Linked DNA regions of Canis lupus familiaris. The protein of the gene in region 1 purifies or fractionates together with the protein of each later gene. This does not show direct contact. Links are inferred from orthologs where the notes say so. Each region holds a gene or a part of one and is shown in the gene's direction. Other genes may lie near its edges.

Region 1 (4,957 bases):
TGCTGTGATCCCAGGCACGTCCCTTACCCTCTCTGGGCCAAACGTGAGACAGGACAAACCATCCTGCTTCCCCTCAGAACAGGGTGAAGAGCATCGGGCCTCCAGAGGCTCTGAGGGAGTCTGAGGAGGGGAGTTGCAATGCCTCTCCAAGGCCCTCCCCCATCTCTCCCCTCCCCCAGGCACCCTGACCTTGTGGTGGAAGTGGCCCATCCCAAAATAATCCAGGAATCTGGGGCAAAAATCCTGCGTTACTCCAACCTCCTGGTGAGCCCTGCCCAGCCTGCCTCGGCCCCACCCTACCCTACAGTGGGATCCATCCCCTGACCTCAGCAACCCCCCCACCTCCATCCACCCCAGGTGGGGTCCCCCTCAGCCCTGGCTGACCAGGCCACAGAGCAGCAGCTGCGAGAGGCCTCGCATCGCTGGCACCATGCCGTGTTCGTGGCCCGGGGGGCCCTGTGGGGCACTGAGGACATCACCAGACTGGACGCAGCAGGGGGCCTCCAGGTGAGGACCCGCCGGGATCCCGGGCAAACCAGAGGGGGCCTCCAGAGACCTCCGGCCCCATCACCCTGGCTGTCACTTCCAGAGTCTTCGTGTCACCATGGCCACGCACCCCGATGGCTTCCGGCTCGAGGGACGGCTGGCTGCAGTGCCCAGCACTGGGCCTCGCACAGTGCTCTACGAAGGCCCTGTCCGTGGGCTCTGCCCCTTGGCCCCTCGCAACTCCAACACCATGGCGGCCGCTGCACTGGCCGCCCCCAGCCTGGGTTTTGACCACGTGGTCGGGGTGCTTGTGGCTGATCTCAGGTGAGCTAAGGCGTGTGGGAGGGTCAGGCGGGGGGCCAGGCCAGCCAGGCTCACCACCCTGCTTGCCCCAGCCTCACAGACATGCATGTGGTGGAGGTGGAGCTGAGCGGCCCGCCGGGCCCCTCGGGCCGAAGCTTTGCTGTGCACACCCACAGAGAGAATCCCGCTGAGCCAGGCGCCGTCACGGGCTCGGCCACCGTTACCGCCTTCTGGCGCAGCCTCCTGGGTGCGGCCCCTGCAGCCCCTCTCCCCAGGCCCTGGCTCTGCAATCCGCAGAGCCCAGGTCCCGGCTGGGTCTGGGTCTGCGGGTCTGATATGGTCTCTAGTTGACTGATCTTTATGTCTGTGTCTCCTTCACTTTCTCCTCCCCGGCTTTGACTCTTGAGAGACCCATCCCTGTAGGAACCTCCCTTCTCTGCCTCTCGCTGGGATCCCACCACCCTTCTCCCTGTGTGTCTCCTCCCCCACCCGGGTCGGTCCCTCCCAGCAGGTGTCTGACTCTCCTCATCGCGCGGTCCCAGCCTTTTATTCCCTGTATCTCCCTCCACCCCCGCAGGCTGCTGCCAGCTCCCCTCCAGGCCGGGGATCCATCTCTGCTGAGAAGCCGCCTCCTTCCCTGGTGGACATCTTCGTCTCATTTACGTCCCCATCCCGGGCCTCCCCGCTGTCTCAGTAAACACTGGAAGCTCCTCTCCCTGCATGGTCCGTTGTCTCTGGTCCCTTGGTTCCCTTCTGTGACGTCACGCGGCGACTTCACACTAGGCTTGGTGCCACCATGGAGGATGAGCACCTGCGGGAGTCACACTCCCGGGAGCTCTCGCGAGAGCCTACACACTACATTTCCCAGAATCCTCCGAGCATCAGGGGGCGTGGCCCCTGCACGCAAAGAGGAGGGGCCCTGTAGGGCATATTTCCGGGATTCGCCGCAGCGACCGAATTGCAGTTCTGCGTCCTCCCGGCTACAGTGGACTTCCGAGCCAAGCTCCCCGGAAGTTCCGATCCAAGCCGAAGGGCCTCGCGGGGGCCGCCGGAACCTGTAGTCCGGCACGCGGGGGCCGCTGGGAGCTGTGTGCGTCCGGCCTGGCCAGTCACCGCGCGGTGTTGCCCGCCTCGCGGTCGGAACCCACAGCCGCCGCCCAGGGGGATGCGGGAACCCCTGGTTTCGGGGAGCAGAGAGGCAGGAGGGGTGAGGGGCGTTGCCAGGCAACGGGCGAGCGCCGCGGTTGGGGTATGGGTCGGGGGGAAAGGCTCTGTTCCTTGGTGTCCGGGGAGGGGGTCCTGTTGCCGAGAGACAGGAGCAGGAAACCCTGTTGTTTGTGATAGGGGAGGGGAGTCTTCTGTTGCTAGGCGACTGGAGGAGACCCTGTTACCTAGAAACAGGGGAGAGGATTTCTCTATTGCTAAGAAACCAGAGGAGAGGCTTGTTACCTAGTTGGGGAGGGGGTCGTCTGTTGCTACGGAACCAGAGAAGGACCCCGTTACCTAGGGACAGGGGAGGGGGTTTGCTCGGTGACCACCATCCCTTTCACTTAGGGATGTGGCAGGGGTAGCCCTCTGTTGCTAGGTGAGTAGGAGAGGCCTTTTCCTAGCAACAGGGGAGGGAGGTACCCCGTTGCCAGGAGAAGGCCTGGGGAGCCAGGGTCAGCGGCCCAGTGTCCCCTTGGGCTGCCCTGAGCCCCCACTTCAACGGCAGTGCCCCCCAGACCTGCTGGCAGGTTGGGCCTCCAGATCCCGGGCCCCCAAGTACCTTCTTCCCTCGCCCCCAAGCAGGAGCCGAGGACGGCATGTCCCAGGCCCCAGGAGCACAGCCGAGCCGGCCCTCCGTTTATCACGAACGGCAACGCCTGGAGCTGTGTGCCGTCCACGCCCTTAACAACGTCCTGCAGCAGCAGCTCTTTAGCCAGGAGGCTGCCGATGAGATCTGCAAGAGGTGACCGTCACCCGCCCTAACCCCTGGAGAAGCAGGGTTCGGGAGCAGAGCGACCCAACCAGGTCTCACAGCAAGGCAGGGACAGAGCCCCGGGCCTTCCAACACCCACCTGGGGAACCCTGAGCCTGGGACATGGAGATGTTGCTGCCCACACCTGCCCTTCACCATGGCCACGCCACTGCCCCAGCTCAGACCTCACCTTCCCTTATCTGGATCCTCATCCTCACATCCCCTCCAGCCTCCCAGCTTCTGGATTTTCCCTGCCTGTCCACACTATACACAGTGCCAACCCCGCCCTCCTCTGCTCACAGCCCTCACACCGCTCCTCAGCAGCCCTGGGAGAAGTCCCAAGTCCTGCAGCCTAATACCCCAGGCCCTGCATGCTGTGGGTCCCCACCTTCCTCTGCAGTTTCTTAGCTCACTGCACCCCCCAAATCACAGTTCTTCCCAGTCCCCAGATGAGCCCTGCTATGATGCCTCTGGCCCTTTGCACAGGCTGTTTTTTTCCTTCTGGCACGGCTTCCTTCTCTTGGCAGCCGGGAATGTTCCTCCTCACCATGCAACATTTCAAACATCGCTCCTCTATTCCCGCTCTGCCTTGTCTCCTCCTCTCTGTCCCCACAGCCTCCGTCCCAAGCCTGGATCCCTCCTCCTTCAGTAACCCACATGAGGCTCCACCCAGAGATGATCCTGTCTTCCTCACTCTTGCTTACAGCCCTCCCATGGACCCTCCAGCATCCTCAGGCAGAGTCCCAGCCCCTCAGACCAATTGTTATAGAATTTATTCATCTCCTCTGCCATTCACAACAGGGGTCCATCAACTCTTGGATGCTGAGGCCATGCTGGAGACCCAGAGATGAGTCCAGTATAGGCCCTGCCCTGAGGGAGGTCAGGCAAACAGATATGCAGGAAAATAATACACAGACTTTCCCTCTCAGGCCCCTGCCCCTCCCCCTCCCCCTGCCCACCAAGGGCCAAGAGAAAGAACAAAGGTGTCACTGTTCAGAGAAGGCAGGACCCAGAGAGACAAATAGTGGCAAGGTGGGCCTCCTGAGCTGGGGGATGGCTGGAGGAGAGGTGGGGAGACCAGATGAGGCTTCAGGTCAGGGAGGACAAGGCCTGCGCAGGGAAATGTGGCTATAGGACAGGGCAGAGAGAGTTGGGGACGGTGGGATCAGGCTTGGGGCTGATGAGCCATGGGGTTGAGCAAAGGGAAGAGTCCAAAGGCTGGATGATTCAAGGTCCCTGGGACTCTCCTGCTTTGTAGGGAGGGCAAGACCTTTTCAGGGACCCCCAGCTCAAGCTCTGACCATCCCCTGACCAGGTTGGCCCCAGACTCCCGGCTGAATCCCCATCGCAGCCTCCTCGGCACCGGCAACTATGATGTCAACGTGATCATGGCAGCCCTGCAGGGGCTGGGCCTGGCCACCGTGTGGTGGGACAGAAGGAGGTGGGACCCCAAGCACTGCGTCATGTGTGCTGAGCCTGGCACAGTGGGTGCGGTGTGACAATATCGGTGTGAGATAAAGCAGAGGGTGGGTGGATAGGAGGTGAGAAGGAAGGGGTACAATGAGTGGAAGGTTTGCATGGGTGGATGATGGATGGATGGCCAGCCAAAGGGTTGGGAGATGGTACAAAGATGAGTGGGATGACAGGACGGACAATAGGATGAGCCGATGGACGGATAGTGGGTAGGTAGACGGTAATCTGGTAATGAGGTGGATGGTAAATGTGTAATTGGATGTGTTGAGGAGGTGGTGGTTGGCTGACGAAGTGGATGAGTTAATAAAGGATAATTGATAGGCAATGGATAGCTAATAGGTGGTTGGATAGTTGGAGGGATGGATGGACAGATGGACAGGTGGATGGCTAAAGACTGGATGAGGTGTTGGAGGATGGTGGGTAAGTTGTTGAGCTGGTGGCTGGCTGGCTGATCAGTTACATCAGTAGATGAATGATGTTTGGGTGTACGATAGTTGGGTAGTTGAGGGGGGTGGTCACTAGATGGGTGGGAGATTTGGGTGCATGGGTGAATGAAAGGAAATAAAGAGCGAAGAGAGTCCTTGGGCAGGCCTGGGGGCTCCTGCTGTCATGCCAGCCTGGCTCCCACGAGTTCAGTACCCCTGGGCCAGTGGGTGAGCACAGGACACTGACGGCCGTGTCCCCACTCCACCCACACAGGCCCCTGTCCCAGCTGGCCCTGTCCCAGGTACTGGG
Region 2 (3,211 bases), on another chromosome or scaffold:
CCTTTCTAATTCCTTTCTAATATCCTCAGGTGTTAGTTTTCCAGAGTAACGCAAAGTCTAGAGTCTAAGACAGAAGAAAAATTCAAGTTTCTCATTTTTTAGTCTCCTGCTATCCCATCTTTTTTTTTTTTTTTTTTTTTTTTTAGATGCTAAAGATTATTGCTTCTTTCATATCTCCCTTAACTTTCTGGGGAGAAAGAAAGCTTTAAGGACAAGACAGCTAGTAAGAAAGAAGCGTTATGGCTTTGAACAACACTCAGCTTGAAGCTCAAGCAACAACTCCTTAGAATTCTGGGCCAGTGAGCCAGTTGAGCATTTTTCTTTCAGCCTTGGGAATTAGAAGATGTCTTCCAACTTTTTAAGGCCTAGCCTGGAAAGAACAGCCAGACAAGAGGCATGAATGTTTATACCAGGGTTTTTGTGATCTGTTCCAGATGAGTATGTGGCAAGCCTACACCTGCCCACCTTTGATGCCCACCTGACAGAGTTGACAGATGAACAGGCCAAGTATCTGGGACTCAACAAGAATGGGCCCTTCAAGCCTAATTACTACAGGTGCCTTGCCCCCACTCCACCCCTGAAGACAGGAAAGCCTGGGTAGAAAAAACTTTCTGCACTGTCCTTGCATCTTTCATATTTATGTGAACTCAGAAAAAATAAACCCACTCCCCGTCACTGCCACCTCCAAAGGACTCTTTGAGGCCTTCTCCAAGTATTAATGTTCCCTTTCTGAATTTGCCTCCTTTTTTTTAAGATTTTATTTATTTATTCATGAGAGACACAGAGAGAGAAGCAGAGACATAGGTAGAAGGAGAAGCAGGCTCCTTCTGGGGAGCCTGATGTGGGGACTCAATCACCAGACCTGGGATCACACCCTGAACTGAAGGCAGATGCCCAACCGCTGAGCCAACCAGGTGTCCCACCATTTCATCTTCTTGATACGATCTTTACCTCTTTATGGAAAAAATACCGGTCTTTTTCACTGATGTGAAAAAACACCACAAGTATCTACCCTTATCATACACTCCCTGCATCCCTGCTGCTATATACCTTAGGTGGGCTCTTCATGTCCCAGCATCCTCACAAGCCGATAACATCACCCTCTCATCTTTCTTTCTCCCTCTAGGTATTAAGTTCCTGTAATTCAAGCCAGAAGAAATTTTAAGGAATAGAACTCCAAGTCTTTTCTCCACTCCTATACAGAAAAGAACCCAGCAAGCTGCTTCTCCAATCAGCTGCCCGCCGTGCTCACCCTATATGTTAGGCTATTTATTTATTAAAATCTAGAATCCTGTGCCTGTTGCCTTGGCCCAGAGTGTGGTTACTGCCCCGAGGGCTGTGAGAGCCATGAAAGACAGGCTGAGGAAGGAAAGATATGGGGTAATCCTTCCCACTCTATCTTCTGCATCATTCCCCACTGACTTGGAATCCTCAGCAATGGTCATTTGTCTCTTGTCCAGGTTCAGGAATTAGTCCAGGAATTCCAGACTCCTTGTTCCCTGGGGTTTTCTGGAATAAATTTTCAGCAGTTGCCTTTTTCAGCTTTGGCTTTTCCCCAGGTGAGGCCTTTTGGAAGCCACTGAATTAACATGGCCTGGGTTCCCAGCCTTGACCATCACTATCACTGCCTTCTTTATAAAATGACTAGGAAGGAAGGAATGTTATGACTTCGGCAAGCTACATCAAGAACTTAGCTACGCCAGTGCTTATCAGGTGTCTCCTTCCTTACCCAGGACCCCTTTCTTCCTTGAATATTCACCTCTGTTTTAACACTTTCTGGTTCCAAGAGGAATGTGCCTCCATTATTTCCTCAGCAGCCCTGGTGTTTGTCAGATATTTGTGTTACCGTCTTTCTAACCCAACTAAACTTTGCTCAGGAAGTGGGGGCCAGCCTTACTGGGGCCCATAGTTTTACTTGTCATTTAACTGAACAGTTTCCCAGGAAGTTCCTTCTAGACTGGCACTGGCTCAGAAAAGGAGAGTTTGTTATGAAACTCTGCTTCCTGAAATTTCCTCTTATTGCCTAAAACTGCTTTTGAAACTGAGCAGGGAAAGATGTACTTTCCAATGGATTTGAGGGTGGGCTTTGGAAGTGGTATAGGCCATTCAGGCCCACAGTTTGATACTCTGAAGAAGCAGAATGTATGTGTTTGTCTCCTGGGAAGGGCTTTGCAGCTTAACAAGCCAAGCTATACAGAGATGACACTGTAAGCCGTATTCAGATGATTAAAGCTAGTTTGACTAGTTCGAACCTTCTCATACATTCATTTCTTTGGCCTTTGCCATTGATCAAACTGAGATCTGATGTCTCTATGATTTAGTCCATGGTTTTTCTTCTCTCCTGGGATATATTTTTATATTCTTGCCTCTTCCATCTTAGGATTCTATATTTCAGAGGTGGCCTCTTGAGTAACTCCAACATCAAAAAATTAGTAATGTGAGCAGCCTGAAATTTTATGTCCCACATAAGAGTTGGATACCTTTTGGAGATTAACTTGTTGGTCTTAAGGGTTTCATCGGGACCAGACCGGTTTTAAGAGTTAGTCCAGAGTGGCCCTAGAAATCTTGGATGAAGTGTGTCCCTTTCCCCCCCGACAACCTTCTTTAACATTCTCAGATCTGTCTGTCTGTCTGCCTGTTTGTTTGTTTCTTTTCCCATTTTTTTTTTCCTAACCTGGTCTGCCTCATAGTCTCAAGACCAAGATGACTCAAGGAAATGCCACCAGACCATCCAGGATCACTATAACCTTACCAACCCCGATTCTCCTCTCCTATCTCCACCTTCTTCAACTTCCCCTGGTTTTCACATATACTTTCAGCGCTAGTCGGGAAGTGACCTTCCTTTTGGAGGTACGGAGGTGGGCTTTGGGTAAATGGCTACTTGCCTCATTAAATAGTATACAGCCTCAGCCCATAGCATCTGGTTCCTCAGAGGCTGTATATCTTAGCACATACTGGAAAAATGCCACATACATGGCTATATTCTTTCATGAGGAAGATCGTAAATGCTGAAAATTCCACTAGGCCACAAAGTTCTTCCTTTTGCCTACCCAGTTCTGAGTTTTGTATTAATTAATTTAATCTCTTTTGTATTAATTAATTGGATACAGATCTTTGTAATTCATCTTATATCAAGGGGAGATTCCATTAGGCAGATACCTGGACTCTAGCCTATTATGTTCCTAAGCCAAAAATCATAACCTGCTGTTTC

Evidence for each region.
Region 2: the proteins of JOSD2 (region 1) and AHCYL2 purify together in Homo sapiens (affinity purification with mass spectrometry; 3 studies listed by BioGRID and IntAct, counting the BioPlex papers as one, with this or other methods). This does not show direct contact. The link is inferred for Canis lupus familiaris from reciprocal best matches to the Homo sapiens genes JOSD2 and AHCYL2.

Annotation. Positions count from the first base shown.
Region 1 is NC_049222.1:106,898,670-106,903,626, forward strand, and holds the start of JOSD2 (josephin-2), read left to right. Parts: upstream 1-1,692; 5' UTR 1,693-2,038; intron 2,039-2,577; 5' UTR 2,578-2,594; coding exon 2,595-2,740; intron 2,741-3,505; exon of another isoform or gene 3,506-4,064; coding exon 4,065-4,190; exon of another isoform or gene 4,191-4,921; coding exon 4,922-4,957. Other genes in the region: ASPDH (putative L-aspartate dehydrogenase), read left to right, coding at 180-264, 358-507, 590-810, 882-1,036, 1,367-1,410. UniProt on the Homo sapiens protein: Cleaves 'Lys-63'-linked poly-ubiquitin chains, and with lesser efficiency 'Lys-48'-linked poly-ubiquitin chains (in vitro). May act as a deubiquitinating enzyme.
Region 2 is NC_049235.1:7,204,418-7,207,628, reverse strand, and holds the end of AHCYL2 (adenosylhomocysteinase 3), read left to right. Parts: intron 1-434; coding exon 435-555; intron 556-1,126; coding exon 1,127-1,133; 3' UTR 1,134-2,251; downstream 2,252-3,211. UniProt on the Homo sapiens protein: May regulate the electrogenic sodium/bicarbonate cotransporter SLC4A4 activity and Mg(2+)-sensitivity. On the contrary of its homolog AHCYL1, does not regulate ITPR1 sensitivity to inositol 1,4,5-trisphosphate.